Ovis aries: one gene and its partners. The protein of the gene in region 3 purifies or fractionates together with the protein of the main gene of each other region. This does not show direct contact. Links are inferred from orthologs where the notes say so. Each region holds a gene or a part of one and is shown on either strand. Other genes may lie near its edges.

Region 1 (4,833 bases), on a different chromosome or scaffold from region 3:
CCCAACAGCACCCCCTCCGCTCCGGAGCCAGTCCAGGGCCCTGTTCCGTTGCTCTACACCTCGGGGCCGAACCCAGCCTGGCTCACCCTCCCGGAGCCGCTGGGCCTTGGGGGTAAGGACCGCCAGGTGTGTGAAGAGGAGGCCAGAGGCAGCCAGCAGTCCTGAGACCAATGGGGTGGGGCCCTCAGCATCCTCCACCAGCAGCCAGTGCAGCCGGGGCACCAGGCTCAGGGTCTGGGACAGCCGCACCAGCTCCGCCTTCTGCACCAACCTGCAGGGGGAAAGATGCGGGAGGGAAAGGGTGGCCACCATTTGCCCACTCCAGCAGGCACATATGTCTTCTTCTGGGCCACTCCTAGCACCCTCACGACATTACCCTGACCAGCACCCAAACTCCCTGTTGTTTTTTGGCTGAGTAGCTCAGCTTGTGAGATCTTGGGTCCCTAATCAGGGACAGTACCTGTGCCCCCTGAAGTGGAAGTGCAGAGGCCTAACCACTGGACCACCAGGGAATTCCCTCACCTGCTCTGTTATTTTTTTATCTTTTTGGCCATGCTGCATGGCATGTGGGACCTTAGTTCCCCAACCAGGGATTGAACCGGTGCCCCTTGCGTTGGCAGCACAGTCTTAACCTCTGGACTACCAGAAAAGTCCAAGTCTTTTGATTTCCGGTTCTGCAGACAATACAGAACCGGAGTCTGAGGTGGGGGAGTCTTGTAGACACTGTCTCCTGATGTCTGTCATTGCTGGGCAGAGGGCAGTGCCTTCTTAGACCAAAATGATTGAACCAAGGTCATCCCCAAGCCTCTTGTAAGTTTCTTTGCCCTTCAGATGGGCCTGCCCGCCCCAGGGTTGGCCGTGTGTGCATGGAGAGGGGAGGGTCTTAAGATGCCTAGCCTAGGTGGGCCAGCCATCTGATTCCAGGCAGATGTCAGCAAGTCCTTTTGGCTCCATTCAAAACCACATTCCCCAGTTGGTTTGTATCACTAATAATGCTACATTTTATTTTTTTTTTTAAAGGAACCCATTTAGCACAGTGTGGGGCAGAGAGTAAACACACTAAATAACAACTGGTGTAACTATTTCTAGACCACCATATGACTGAATGGCCAAGTCCTTCTCTACTTTACATTAGTCAAGGGGTTCTCAAACTTCCTCACCAAAGGTTCCCTAAGGAGTCAGAGTGAACTCACTTGGCAAGTTCAGAATTTCTTTGAAACTTTATTGTTGTTATCTTAAAATTTCTCAGGAATTTTTTACACTACTTCATGGCACATCCCTGTCTATATTCTTTATCTTTTGGCCACGCCACATGGCATGCGGGATCCTAGAGCTCCCAACCAGGGATTGAACCCACAGTCCCCATGATGGCAGCCAGGAATCTCAACCACTAGACCACTAGGGAAGTCCTCCCATCTATTGTTTATAGAAAAAAACAATTTCCCCAAGATCTGAGTAACGATGTGGTTCATTTAGCCTGACATTTGGCAGTGCCTTAGCCTGAAGAACATCTCCTGGCCCAGTGCCTCCTGAAACTCATCATCAACCCCAGCCTCTTGGTCCATGCAGATCCTGGGTGAGTCAGAGCCCATACCTGGCATAGGTGGGGGTAACAACATAGATAGTAGGCAGAGCCTCGGGTTCAGGGGGCTGGGCAGGGGCAGGGGGTGGGCGACGGAGATCGGCTTGCAGCTGGGAAATCCTCAGATCCTTCTGCCGAAGCTGCTCTGCTGCTGCCCGCAGGGGAGGGAGGCAGTCACATGGCTGGCCTGGTCCCAGGAAACAGGGATGGGGGCAGAGAACCACAGGATGTTCAGCATCCCAAAGGGCATTAACCTTCCCATTCAACTAACCAATGCGGGGCTCTCCTTACAACTTCTCTAACAGCTTTTCTACACCTAGGGTGGTGAGGAACTCGCTGCCTTAATTAGCAGCGCCTCTCCAACTTTTAACAATTCCATCCATTACAATTTTCATGTGTCTATTAAGCTGATCACCTGCCTCCATCCTTTCTACCTGCTGGGCCTAATTTTGCCTTCTGGAAGCATAACGAACAGTTGATCTCCTAAAACAGGGCAGTCTTTCAAATACCTGAGGATCATGCAGTGGCCCAGTCTCTAAATCCCTGCATAAGAGGCAGGGTTCAATCTGTTCCGTTGGCTGTGTGACCAAAGACTCATTAAATTCATTGATTCCATCACTGGATAAATATTTATTGAATGCTCCTCCTGGGAGGCACTGCCTTAGGTGCCCGGGCTGCAGCAGGAAACCAAACAGACATGGTCCCTGCCCTCATGGAGGTTGCAGTTTAGTGGAGGAGCTGGACACTAAGCAAAGAAACAAATTAATACAATTTATTAGAAACTGTGGTAAGGGCTATGAAGGAAACAAATAGGAGGGAGGCTTAAAAGAGAACCCAGAGTAAGAAGAGTTACTTTTAGCTAAGGTGGTTAAGGAAGGCCTCTATGAGGCGGTGACATGTCAGCGAGCTGAGACCTGAAGGATGAGAAAGAGGCAGCTGGGGAAGAGCTGGGAGAAAAGGTTACAGGCAGAGACAAGTTAAGTGCTTAGATCAACGAGCGTGGGGTTTTCGAGAAACTGTCATGAAGCCAGTGTGGCTGGAGCAGAGCGAGCGAGAGGGATGGGAAATGGGGTTAGAGAGGCAGACGGCGGCGGGATCACGCGGGGCCTGGCAGGCTCCGGGAAGGAGTCTGATTTCACCCGAGGTGCGGCGGGCAGCCGCGGTGCGTTCTGGAGAGGGGAGTGCGCCCAGGGGCCGCAGAGGGGCTGTCGGAGGACCGAGCCGGATGAATGGGGTCTGCGCGGGGCTTCATCCCCAGGGCGGGATGCACAGCGGCGGGATGCCCTTCCGCCGACTCGCCGCACCCCCGCCCCGCCCCGCTCACCGAGCTGCACCAGCGCGTAGAGTAGGCCGGCGATCGACACCAGGAAGTAGGCGAGGAACACGTTCTTCAGCTTCAGCTTCATGGCCGCGCCGCCGCCGCCGCCGCCGGGGCAGGCGGGGTCCTGCGGGGACAAGGGGTTCCCGCCCCCCGCCCGCCTGCCAGCCTGCAAGCCCCGCCCCTGCAGCGGCCCCGCCCCGTGTCCCGCCCTCCTCACGCTCGGCTCGATCAGCTCCCGGGAGCTAGCGCTGGCAGCGCCCGTCTGGGCCCACTTCCGGTCAGTCTGCACACCCCCTTCCCTCTGGGTAATTTCCGGTCCCATTGCCTAGTTCTGGGAACCACGGAAGTGGGTGACGTCATATCCGGCGTGTCAAGCGTGCTTGGCCGGTGGTCAGGAGCCAAGTAAGGTAACGTGGGAGTGGCTTTGAGACCCTCGGCCTTGATCTCCAGTCCCTGTGAGCATATTTTCTTACATTCATTCACTCACCCATCCACCAGTCATTGCACGCAGTGACAGTAGCTCAGTAAATAATTGCTACACGAATGAGTGAAATCTACAGCCCTGCCAAGCCTAGACAGCATATTAAAAAGTAGAGACATTGCTTTGCCGACAAAGGTCCATATAGTTGGACTGCAAGGAGATCCAACCAATCCATTCTGAAGATCAGCCCTGGGATTTCTTTTGGAAGGAATGATGCTAAAGATGAAACTCCAGTACTTTGGCCACCTCATGCGAAGAGTTGACTCATTGGAAAAGATTTTGATGCTGGGAGGGATTGGAGGCAGGAGAAGGGGACGACCCAGGATGAGATGGCTGGATGGCACCACTGACTCGATGGACGTGAGTCTGAGTGAACTCCGGGAGTTGGTGATGGACAGGGAGGCCTGGTGTGCTGCGATTCATGGGGTTGCAAAGAGTCGGACATGACTGAGCGACTGAACTGAACTGATGGTTTCTCCAGTAGTCATGTATGGATGTAAGAATTGGACTATAATGAATGTTGAGCAAGGAAGAATGGATGCTTTTGAACTGTGGTGTTGGAAAAGACTTGAGAGTCCCTTGGATTGCAAGATCAAACCAGTCAGTCCTAAAGGAAATCAGTCCTGAATACTTGTTGGAAGGACTGATGAAGCTGAAACTCCAATACTTTGACCATCTGATGTGAAGAACTGACTCCTTGGAAAAAGACCCTGATGCTGGGAAAGATGGAAGGCAGGAGTAGAAGCGGATGACAAGATGAGATGGTTGGATGGCATCCTTGACTTGATGGACATGAGTTTGAACAAGCTCCAGGAGTTGGTGATGGACAAGGAAGCCTGGCATGCTGCAGTCCACGGGGTTGCAAAGAGTCAGACACGACTGAGTAACTGAACTGAACTGCCAAGCCTGTGCTCTGGTTGTCTCATATAATCCTCACTATAATCCTTTGATAACTTTAATACAATTTAGGATGTCTGTTAGTCGCTCAGTCGTGTGTGACTGCTTGCAACCCCATGGACTATAGCCCCCCAGGCTCCTCTGTCTGGTGGAAGTAGGTAGCCATTCCCATCTCGAGGGGATCTTCCAGGAATTGTACCTGGAACTCCCACATTGCAGGCAAATTGTTTACCGTATGAACCAAGGAAGGCCACAATTTAGAATACTATCACTCTAAAAATTGATGTTGCAGAATTTTGATCATGGCAAAAATGCAAAACTAACAGTAATATAATGAACTGGAAAATAGCAAAGGCATTTCCAGCATTTTATTAATGATCAACCTCTTGTAGATGTTCTAGTATGTCCACTTGGAATCAGGTCCCCTTTCTGGGATGAAGAGTTTACATCGATAGTGTTTTCCCAGCACACCCAGCAGTAGTTTAAGAGCAAACTGCTCTTCAGCATTGTCACAGTACCTGTCCACTTGTATGTAAGATAGACTTTTGTCCC
Region 2 (4,939 bases), on a different chromosome or scaffold from region 3:
ACTGAAGTAAAGAGATGTAGAACTTATCTGCTAAAATTTTCACTATCCATAAAGTGTGGTAAGTATATTATACTTTAGATAATATATGCTATTTAACTAGAGTCAAGCCTTCAAGGGAAAGCTTGTGTTCTATTTAAGAAAGATAGAGATAAAAGCCAAAAATAAAAGCTACCACTAATACATCTCCTTTGAAAAAAAAAGGTTAAGGTATACTTTAAGGAAACTATTCATTTTTATTAAGCTGATATACAGTGTAGCTAAAATAGTATCCAAAAGCAATCTTCTAATTTCCAGAGCTTCTGAAATGTAAACAAGTCACTAGACTGCCCTTTCACTCAGGTCCAGTAGGTGTTATCTGTAGTTAACATAACACTGCATTTCCAAGGCCCCATTCTGCAAGATAAACAGCCCGTAACTCCATATTTGAAGGTGGCAATACGTACTTGACTTTTTTTTTAATACCACCTAATTATGGTTAGGCATTATTTAGGGATCACTACTTTTAAGTAAAGCCAAGCAAGTAGGTATTGCAGTAGTCTGTCAAGATAGCTTTTTACTTGTACAGTGATTCATATAGCATACACTGTGTATTTGTCCTATCACCTCCCCATTCACCTGGTACAATATAAGCAAGCAGCTAAGACTAACAGATATAAGTTTTAGACCCTATTTAGATTATTCACATGCCTCAAAAAAGTTCTCAAACTATTTTCTAGCTCTATCAAAAGCTTTATAAATTCCTTCTACAAGCTTACTAAAAAAATTTTATATCAAAGTCTGACATTTAACAAACAGTATTACATTCAAAAGAACTACCCACTTTATTTTTTATTTAAAAAGCTCACCTCTTCTCAATGTTATGTGGCAGCCTAGATGGGAAGGGAGTTTGGGGGAGAATGGATATAGGCATACAAATGGCTGAGTCTTTTCACTGTTCACCTGAAGCTATCACAACACTGTTAATTGGCTATACCATAATACAAAATAGAAAGTTGTTTTTAAAAAAAGCTCCTGGTTTACACTGAGAAATGCTGTTTTATCAACAGCTTGCTTCTCTTTCTTGCCTTAATTTTCCTCTCCAGCAAAAATGATAAAACATAAATTCATTCAAACAAGTTGAAGATTTTAACAAATATTTTGCTACCTCTTCAAAGATGTTTTAAAATTCAACAAGCAGACTCCTAACAAATTGAACGAAGACCTTCAGTCAAATCAGTTTAAAATACACCAATTGTTAATTTCCTTTATATTTACAAAGGTAGAATCTTATTTTATATGTGGCTAGAGTTAGATAAAAATTTAATTTCAGAATTCCTTAATGTCAGCTAAATCACCCTCAAACTTAAACTAAACACCTCTAAACCTTGAAGCTGTAAATCAGTTTCACTGAAGTCCTCTTTCACTGCCATGTAAACCATTGCCTAATTGAGGCCAGACCTGTCAGGCTCAACAGCATCCCGGAAATGACTAGTCTACTAGAGCTGGAAACACATCAAGAATTTGGAATATTTCTCATATTGAAGCAAGGAAAAAAGTTCAAGCAAGATTGCCCATAAGAACAATCAGTATACTGTTCCACAGGGTGAAAAAAGACCTAAAAGCCGTTTTTTTGTTATTCTGGTTATTTCACAAGAATATATCAAAATTCTGTATGTAATTTCAGGTGATGGCCCAATGAACTTACCCTTTCCTTCCAACATACGAACAAGAGTTCGCTACTAAATTCTCATATTGAATGCCTGTCTTGTAATCCAGTTTTTTTCTTCAGCTACTAATACCATCACCTGAAGCATGGCTGGTTTCTTGACTTAGAAACCTGTTAACAATAATGCCTAACACCTAAGCTACTTAATGTTTTTTTTTTTTTTTTACTTTTTACCAAGAAATATAAGCGCAAGCGTGCGCGCGCGCGCGCGCACACACACACACACACACACACACTCTCTCTTTCTCTCTCTCAAATCCCAGTCATGAAAAATTAAGTCACATTCCGGCCATAAACTGAGCAATAGACACTTCCAGTTAGCGTGTGCTTTAGTGATCATGGACAGTGGTATCAGATTAAGTGGTAGGGGGGTTGGGGCTGTTAACAACATACTGTGCATCAGAGCCAATAAGCAGCAGGCTAGAACCGGCAGCAAGAAGGCCGGTCTCTAAAGGGAGCTATAACACAATATCAGAATGCTGGATTTCCGAATGCCATTTTATGGGGAAGGAGGGGAGGCGAACTGGGGATCAAGTGCAATGAAAGGTTCTGACCAATGTCTGAGGCGATGAAACCGAAGACAAGGTCTTGTGGCAACACCAGCTGTCCAGTCTCATCTCACCTCAAACACAACTCAATTTCAGGTCGTTCTCATCAAAGTCAGCCGCTCAAAGGGTGAGGGGGTGGCAGGCAGCAGACGGTGACAGCCCCCCAAGAGACCGGCAAAAAGCCTTTGGAAATGGCAGAGACGGCACACAACTGGAAGGGGCTTCTGCTAGCGAACAGAGAGCACTGCAGCCGCCTTCCCCCTGCCTTCCAGCCCGGGCTGTTAGGTACGAGGTTAGGACGTCGCTGGAGGGTCTATGAACGAATGATAGGAGAAAATGGCAGTAAAGGATAAGGGGGGCTGGAAAGGGCTGGTGCCACCCAAGGAAAAAGGGGAGGAGGACTTCCCTGGACACATCCAGAACAACGCCACCAGAGAGCACGGTCAGCGCCCTGCCAGCGCCTGACACCCCTCTCTCTGGGAAAGCTTTGCCCCCGTCCACACGATCCCAATCCCCAAACACTGCTCCCATCCGACCCTGCTCCCCCGCAAAAATCCCCATCGTGGCCTCCTTTCCCTTCCGCCTCAGGCGCCCCACGCCCTCAAGCTCCCCTCCCCTTCCCGGTCACCCACCCTCCGGGCGGCCCGTCGCCGGCCTCCCCGGCAGCTCGCCCAGACCCCTCCCCCCTCACCTCTCCTCAGCGCCTCCTCGTAGCTGAGGAATCCGATCCGTGACTCCTTGGCGCCCATGCTCCCTTCATCCCCTCGGCCGGGGGTCGGAGCCCGCTCTCGCCCCCACCCCCCTCCCGCCTTCTCCTCGGCGTCCCTGGCTGACGGTGTCGGCGTCCCCCGGTCCCCACCTCCCCCAACACTAACAAGTGCGGCTTCTGCCCCGGCGGCTCCTCCCGGCCGCCGCCACCGCCTCCATGCCGAATCACGTGACCAGCTCCCACCCCGCCCCCTTCCCCTCCCTCTTACTCCGCCCTTCTCCTCTCTCCTCCCCTCCCCTCCCTTCCCTCCTCACGCCCTTTTCCCGCCCCCTCCCTCCCGCCTGCCCCGCCGAGGGTCACCTGACCCGAGGCCGGGGATTGTTCCGGGTAATGGCCGCCAGAGGCCACCCACTCCGCCCCGCCTCACGCTTGCCGCGCGCAGGGCGTGGGGGCGGGGCCAGACCCTGCGCGTAACGCATCATCCCCACCTTCCGGCCAATCCGAAGCCGCGAGGCCCGGGGGCCTCCGCCCGCCTGAGGGGTGGTGACTTCCGGGGCGCTTGAGGCCGTCCTCCCGCCCACGAGTTCTGGTAGTCGCTGGGCGGGGTCGTAACCCTTGACGGTTGGTTTGGTTGTGGCCCAGAGCCGTCTTGAAAGAGAAATGGAATCTTAGGGAGCCGGGGTCCGAGGGGTGCGGTTCGTGAGAGAAAGGAACGGGCAGGAGAGGCATTCCAGACGTTAAGGACATTTTTGATTAGGAAGGAAGTTGTGAAAGGAAAGGAAACTCAAGGGTTTCACTAGAGAATTCTGCATCCTAGTGGAGTGATTCTTAAGGAAAGTGAATCTTGGGACAAATTTTAGAACATCTTCCTTTTAGCTGTATCCCCATCCCCCGACCCTTTGACGCTGGATTTTCTTTCACGCAGAGCCAATTTGCCCCCGGGCGCATCTCCTGCTCTGCGCCTGCCTCTGGTACAGCCTTTGGAAGCTGTTACGCAAAAGCTTAGCTTATCTGCAAGAGTTGCTCCCCACCAGAAATGTGAGCGTTACAAGACTGATGAGAGTACCTTGCGCTTTTGTTTATTATTTTTAAATTGTGTTAAAATATAAATTTGCCATGCTAATCATTTTTAAATATCTCAAGAGCAGAATCACACAGTATTTCCCTTTTTGTGATTGGTTTATTTCATTTAGCATAGTGTCCTCAAGATCCGTCCACGATGCAGCACGGTAGCAGAATGTCCCAGGTTTACCATGTGACCCAGCACTTCCACTTGTGACTGTATAGCCAAAAGAATTGAAAACCCGGACAGGAACAGATAACTTACATCTCCATGTTTATAGAACATTATTGAAAATAACCAAAAGGTAGAAGCAACTCAAGTGTCTCATCAACTGGACAGATGAATAAGTAAATATAGTATATGCCTACAATGGAATAAATTCAGGTCCTTGCTTTTTTTAACTCAGTTTGTCTGGATACGAAAATACATTGAAAAATAATCATTTGAATTAGATTAGATTTAAGGTGATACTTACGTAATTCAGGGACAGCGAAAGGATTTTAGTTCCTAAAGTCAACAGATTATAATATGCCCTGCTAGAGAGAGAAGGCAATAACTCTACTCATCTTTCCTGGCAGACCAGATCAGCAGCCTGGCATTAGTCACAGTGCTGCCCTTTCCAGTTCACTGTGAGGTAGTTAATTTTAAGGCCTCAGATTAGTTTCACTACTAAAAGGCCATGAATAAGGGGGTTGGGAGTGTACTTCAAAGCCTTTAATTTCCAGGTGATTAGTTCGGCTCAAACGCAGGTTTTCAGACAAAACAACTCAGTCATCTTCAGCCTGCAGTAGATTATCATTATTAATGGGAAGTGACTCTTAAGAAAGGGCTCAGCTGTGGGAGAAAAGACCCTCAAGAGTTTAATTACAACATACCTTGGCTTTATTACTGTCCTAAATAATCAGTACCTAAAG
Region 3 (4,971 bases):
GAACTCTCCACCAGGACTAGAAGCAATCTGAGAGCACACAGAGCAGCTTAATCATCTCTGTAACCTCTAAGCATTTAGTAGAATAAGGATCGTAGGATTGTATACTGGTGTTTTCCTCATTCCTGGGTACCTTCTTAAATGGTTAAACAGATATTCAAAGAATGTGAAAGTCTCTCAGTCCCTGCGCCAACTCAATATATCCATTGGCTCAGACGGTAAAGCGTCTGTCTACAATGTGAGAGACCTGGGTTCGATCCCTGGGTTGGGAAGATTCCTTCGAGAAGGAAATGGCAACCCACTCCAGTACTCTTGCCTTGAAAATCCCATGGATGGAGGAGCTTGGTGCAGACTACTATCCATGGGGTCGCAAAGAGTCGGGCACGACTGAGCGATTTCACTTTCTTTCTATACAGTCCATGGAATCCTCTAGGCCAGAAGTAGTTAAACAGATGTTCAAAGAAAGGCTCTGCAAACATCAGAATTTGGCAGTTCACAAGTCTGAAGGCAGTCAAGCTGTCTACTGACACATTACAAGAGAAAAGGTCAAAATGATTACTGGAAGAGACAAGGCCCTGACTCTTGAAAACCTGTGTGTGTCTGTGTGTGTGTGTGTGTACATATATACATAGACTGGGAACAGGGGACAGCAATTGCAGTTTCTTACATGGGCTCTAAGCTTTCGAGAGCAATTTCACAGTTATCATTCACTCAGCAGGCACCTTCTAGAGCAGTCACTATGTGCCAGGTACTGTGCTGAGGACTGGACAGCAGGAACAGCCTGAACAGTCCGTGTCCTATTAGGGCTTATAATCTAGTAGGTTCGGTGTGCAAAGATAAACGTAAACACACCTAGTTGTGGGGATAAGAAAGAGAAAGCAGTTTATTCTGCCTGGGGCTGTGGGAGAAGGGAAAGCACCGAAAAGGTGACATCCGAGCTAGGCCTTGAAGGATGGTGAAGCTGACCCACCAGGGCCAATTCTGATGGGTCAACGTCTTGTCCACGGAGCAGAGAAAGCCTCATCTCGGCACTGGTGGACTCATAAAAATTCTTAGGTATTTTTATCAACAATCATACCCATTTCACAGCAGGAGAAACTGTGACCCAGAAAACAAAAGTTCCAATCCTGTGGTCATACTGCGCTTCAGGGGAGATGTCAGGTCCAGAATCCGGGTGGACAGACTCAGCACAGTTTCAGTTCTGTCCAGATTCCGGGACCTGAACAGCACCGGAATGTGGCAAGGGTCTCGGGACCCGGAAGTTGGGAAGAGGTCTGAAAAGAGAGACCCCTCCGACCGATCTGCCAGGCTCTCAGCCACGCCCTCTTGCCCTACGCTTCTGCACTCACCCGCCGCTAGGCGAGAGGAAGTCGGTATCGTCTTCGTCTCCAGCACCGAACATCGCGCCGCCTTTCGCCCCGCTTCGGGGAGGAAGTCGGAGCGTTTCCAGAGACTTTCAACGCCGACGCCGTAAAATGCCGCGGCGGCGTGCTGCTTTCCGGCAAGGCGAACTCTCTCATGGTTATTGGGCCAGGAGGAGACTAGGCTGTGGAGAAGGTGGAGCAAAGGCAAATGAGAGGGCCTGGCGGGCGAGGCCTGATGAGTGACGTAAGCTTCTTCTGCCCTCAGAGGCGGTGAGAACGGCAGGCGCTCAGAAACTCTGGGCGGCGATTGGCCAGCGAGTCAGGGGGCGGGGTAGGGGCGGGAATCGACGCTTCGGTGGCGGTCTCGGACACGTCGCGAGGGTCAGAAGTGGAGGGGCTTCTGAAGAGTCTTGGAGGTGTGACGGATTAAGGATCTGAGAGAGAGGCACCGGTGGCGGGACTCGATCTGGAAAGGTAAGGCCTCTTCTGCTCCTCTCGCAACCCGGGCACGAGCACAGTCCTTTCTTCTCCGGGACAGGGACCTCCACGCCACTCTGCTCCGCGAAAGGAGAAAGGGCCCGGGACCGGAGGTCTGGAGACCCGAGCTTTCGGCCCAGCCCCCACTGGGACATAACTGGAGTGACCTTGGGTCAGGGTGTTGCGTGCCTCCGTTTCCCTGCCTATACAACGAGTCTGATCCCCCTGCTGCCTGTTCCCTGTGGCCGCCCTCGCTATTTGTTCAACGAGCTGTTTGTCCAGTGCTTCAGTGTGCTGGCTGGTCAAGAAGCTTTAAGACCTCAGAGGTCATCCAATTCAATCCCAGTCTCCTCGTAATCCCAGACTTCACAAATATGGAAAGACAGGAACTCAGCACTTGGATGACTAGTCCGAGGTCACACAGAGTAAAGGGCTGACTGAGGCTGGATCCCTGGTTTCTTGATTAGGGACTTAGCAAGCTGCCTTGGTCAACAAGAATGTTATCAACCCTTAAGTACTGTGTACTCTCACAGAGTGGGCACACCTCTGGAGAGAAGTTCCTTCCCTAGTGTCCACCTACGCAGGAGAGCTGGGAGCGGGTGATGGAGAGGAGGAAATTTCAGAAGCTGAAGATCCCTGGCCCCAACCTTGGCCTGGATTTGCTTAATCTTGTCACAAATCTAAGTCAACATCATTTGTTGTCGACTTCTCTCCAGTTTGCACCCTCTCTAACTGATACAAGCATTTCTTTGGTTAACCTGGTGGGTTTTTTTTTTTTGGAACAATTTCTGGGTAGGCCTAACTTAGCCGAAGGAGGTGTGGATAAGCAGAATATGTCCCACCTTAGCTTCTTTACACAGATCTCAATCATATTAGGACAACACGTGTCCCTTACCTGAAAGTTTTAATCTGTTAACATGAATACGGAGTGAAGTGGTTGGTAACTCCTTCCCAGAGTTTTAATGCCTCTTAGCACTTAGCTTGTTCTGCTTTTATTCTAGTTTGTGTGCCTCTATTAAATGGTAAACTCAAGGACGGTGACAGTTTTATTCCTCCTGGTGTCTCCTGTGTCACGGAGCACTGTGCCCTCTTGCCTGTAATGGGTTCTCGTTTACTCGTTTGTTAGACTGAGTAGTGCAATTCAGCCTTGTTTCCTTATTCCTTAATTTACCCTCTTAGCATGTTTTTTCCCCATGTGACCCAGAGAGCCCAGCAATGGCTCTTGCCTTGTCTAAGTAGCTTCCAGAAAGATAAAAGTGCTGTACTAGCTGTGAACTGTCTGGGTAGCTTAGTCTCTTTTTTTCAGTCGAAGATGACTTTAATGTTGTTTAAAGCTCTAGGGGAGGGGGAAAAGGAGGAACGGGATAGCTAGAAATATTATATGTAGGTCTAATTTTTGTTCGTAAAGTATTCCTCTGTTAAACGGAGGGATAGGACTGTTGTCTGCTTCCTGTGTTTATTTTACAGATTAAGATGGTTAAAGCCTCGAAGGCTGACAGTGTTAAAGCAATGATGCAACTGGAGGCTAAGCACTGGAACTGGAATCCTTTGTGGTAGCTGTCTTTTGAATGTGAGCTTGGCTACTCTGGGTGCAGGGGAAGAATAATCTATATAAGTAACAGCTCTTTCCACTCCCTCTGCCTAGGACTGGTTATTGTCATTCCATCACTGCAGCATCTGAATAGTGCTTTTTACAAATGTTAAAGGGGACCAATGAGCACTTATCTTGTGTTCTTGAGTTGGGAGTGTTTTCTCAGTAAAGCATTTTTTTTTAAACCTTTTAATTTTGTATTGGGATATGGCTGATTAACAATGTCGTGATAGTTTTAGGTGAACATCAGATATCCAGGGTGTTTAAGTTACCTTTCTAGATAGGCAGGAATCCTAACTAAAATCTGGATCACGGATCAGCCTTCTTAGTGACGAGACACCCCAAATACGCATGCCCAGTTTGCCCTTGTAGGACACAGCTGCTGGTTCTGATTGGCACTGGGAGAAAGGAGAAGACAGTGGTGAGCCTTCCTCAGTCTTCCAGGCTTTTTTTTTTTTTTTTTAGATTTATTTACTTTTTAAAAATATTTGGTTGTCCTGTGTCTTCATTGCTGCACATGGGCTTTCTCTAGTTGCAGAGAGCAGGGGCTTCTCGTGTTTTGAGCATGGACTCTAGGTGTGTGGGCTTCAGTAGCTGGGGCTCATGGGCTCTACGGTGCAGGCTCAGTAGGCACATGGGCTTAGTTTCTCCGTGGCATGTGGGATCCTCCCAGACTAGGGATCGAACCCATGTCCCCTGCATTGGCAGGCAGATTCTTAACCACTAGACCACCAGGGAAGCCCAGTCTTCCAGGCTTTGGACTGCAGGATTGAGTGCACCTAAAAAAGCCACTGTCTTCCTGAAGTAGAGTAGTGGACTAGGAATCAGTAAACTTGAATTCCTGTCCCGGCCCTCCTAACTCTCTCTGAGCTTGGGCCAGGCTCCCTAAAATCTACCAGACATCTATTAAATAGTACTGCTGGGGATACGAAGGTAAATAGGCACTACCTTGTCTCAAGTTTGAATAAAGCATTTTTGTTTGTTTTGCTTAAGTATATAGCTTTTAGACATATTTGTGAAATGTATTGACCCCCCTGAAGATTAATCAGAAAGCATGAATTTTAACAGTTCCTTTAGGATTATCAACAATTTTGCTACAGAGATGACAGTGTTTATATGCAGGTACTATATAATTCTATATAGTATATTAATCTGTTCTGGTGAATGATTTTAAAACTAATAGTTTAAAATTATAAGCAAGTTAGATCTTAAGTGTGGTGTTTGGATTATGAACTGAATGTAGGTTTGGGATTGGAATTCCAGGTGGAAGTGAGGAGGCCAAGGTTTTCCAAGTTTAAGATGAGTTGCACTCTTCAGTTCGGTTCAGTGGCTCAGTCGTGTTCGACTCTTTGTGACCCCATGAATCGCAGCACGCCAGGCCTCCCTATCCATCACCAACTCCCGGAGTTCACTCAGACTCACGTCCATCAAGTCAGTGATGCCATCCAGCCATCTCATCCTCTGTTGTCCCCTTTTCCTCCTGCCCCCAATCCCTCCCAGCATCAGAGTCTTTTCCAATGAGTCGACTCTTCACATGAGGTG

Evidence for each region. The genes of interacting proteins can lie anywhere in the genome.
Region 1: the proteins of SLC31A1 (region 3) and B3GAT3 purify together in Homo sapiens (co-immunoprecipitation; 3 studies listed by BioGRID and IntAct, with this or other methods). This does not show direct contact. The link is inferred for Ovis aries from reciprocal best matches to the Homo sapiens genes SLC31A1 and B3GAT3.
Region 2: the proteins of SLC31A1 (region 3) and USP32 purify together in Homo sapiens (co-immunoprecipitation; 3 studies listed by BioGRID and IntAct, with this or other methods). This does not show direct contact. The link is inferred for Ovis aries from reciprocal best matches to the Homo sapiens genes SLC31A1 and USP32.

Annotation. Positions count from the first base shown.
Region 1 is NC_056074.1:37,497,367-37,502,199, forward strand, and holds the start of B3GAT3 (galactosylgalactosylxylosylprotein 3-beta-glucuronosyltransferase 3), read right to left. Parts: upstream 3,189-4,833; 5' UTR 2,989-3,188; coding exon 2,907-2,988; intron 1,770-2,906; coding exon 1,595-1,769; intron 272-1,594; coding exon 1-271. UniProt on the Homo sapiens protein: Glycosaminoglycans biosynthesis. Involved in forming the linkage tetrasaccharide present in heparan sulfate and chondroitin sulfate.
Region 2 is NC_056064.1:12,286,286-12,291,224, reverse strand, and holds the start of USP32 (ubiquitin carboxyl-terminal hydrolase 32), read right to left. Parts: upstream 3,189-4,939; 5' UTR 3,181-3,188; coding exon 3,129-3,180; exon of another isoform or gene 3,003-3,128; coding exon of another isoform or gene 2,945-3,002; intron 1-2,944. UniProt on the Homo sapiens protein: Deubiquitinase that can remove conjugated ubiquitin from target proteins, such as RAB7A and LAMTOR1.
Region 3 is NC_056055.1:10,496,562-10,501,532, reverse strand, and holds the start of SLC31A1 (high affinity copper uptake protein 1), read left to right. Parts: upstream 1-1,745; 5' UTR 1,746-3,408; intron 3,409-4,971. Other genes in the region: FKBP15 (FK506-binding protein 15), read right to left, coding at 1,347-1,399.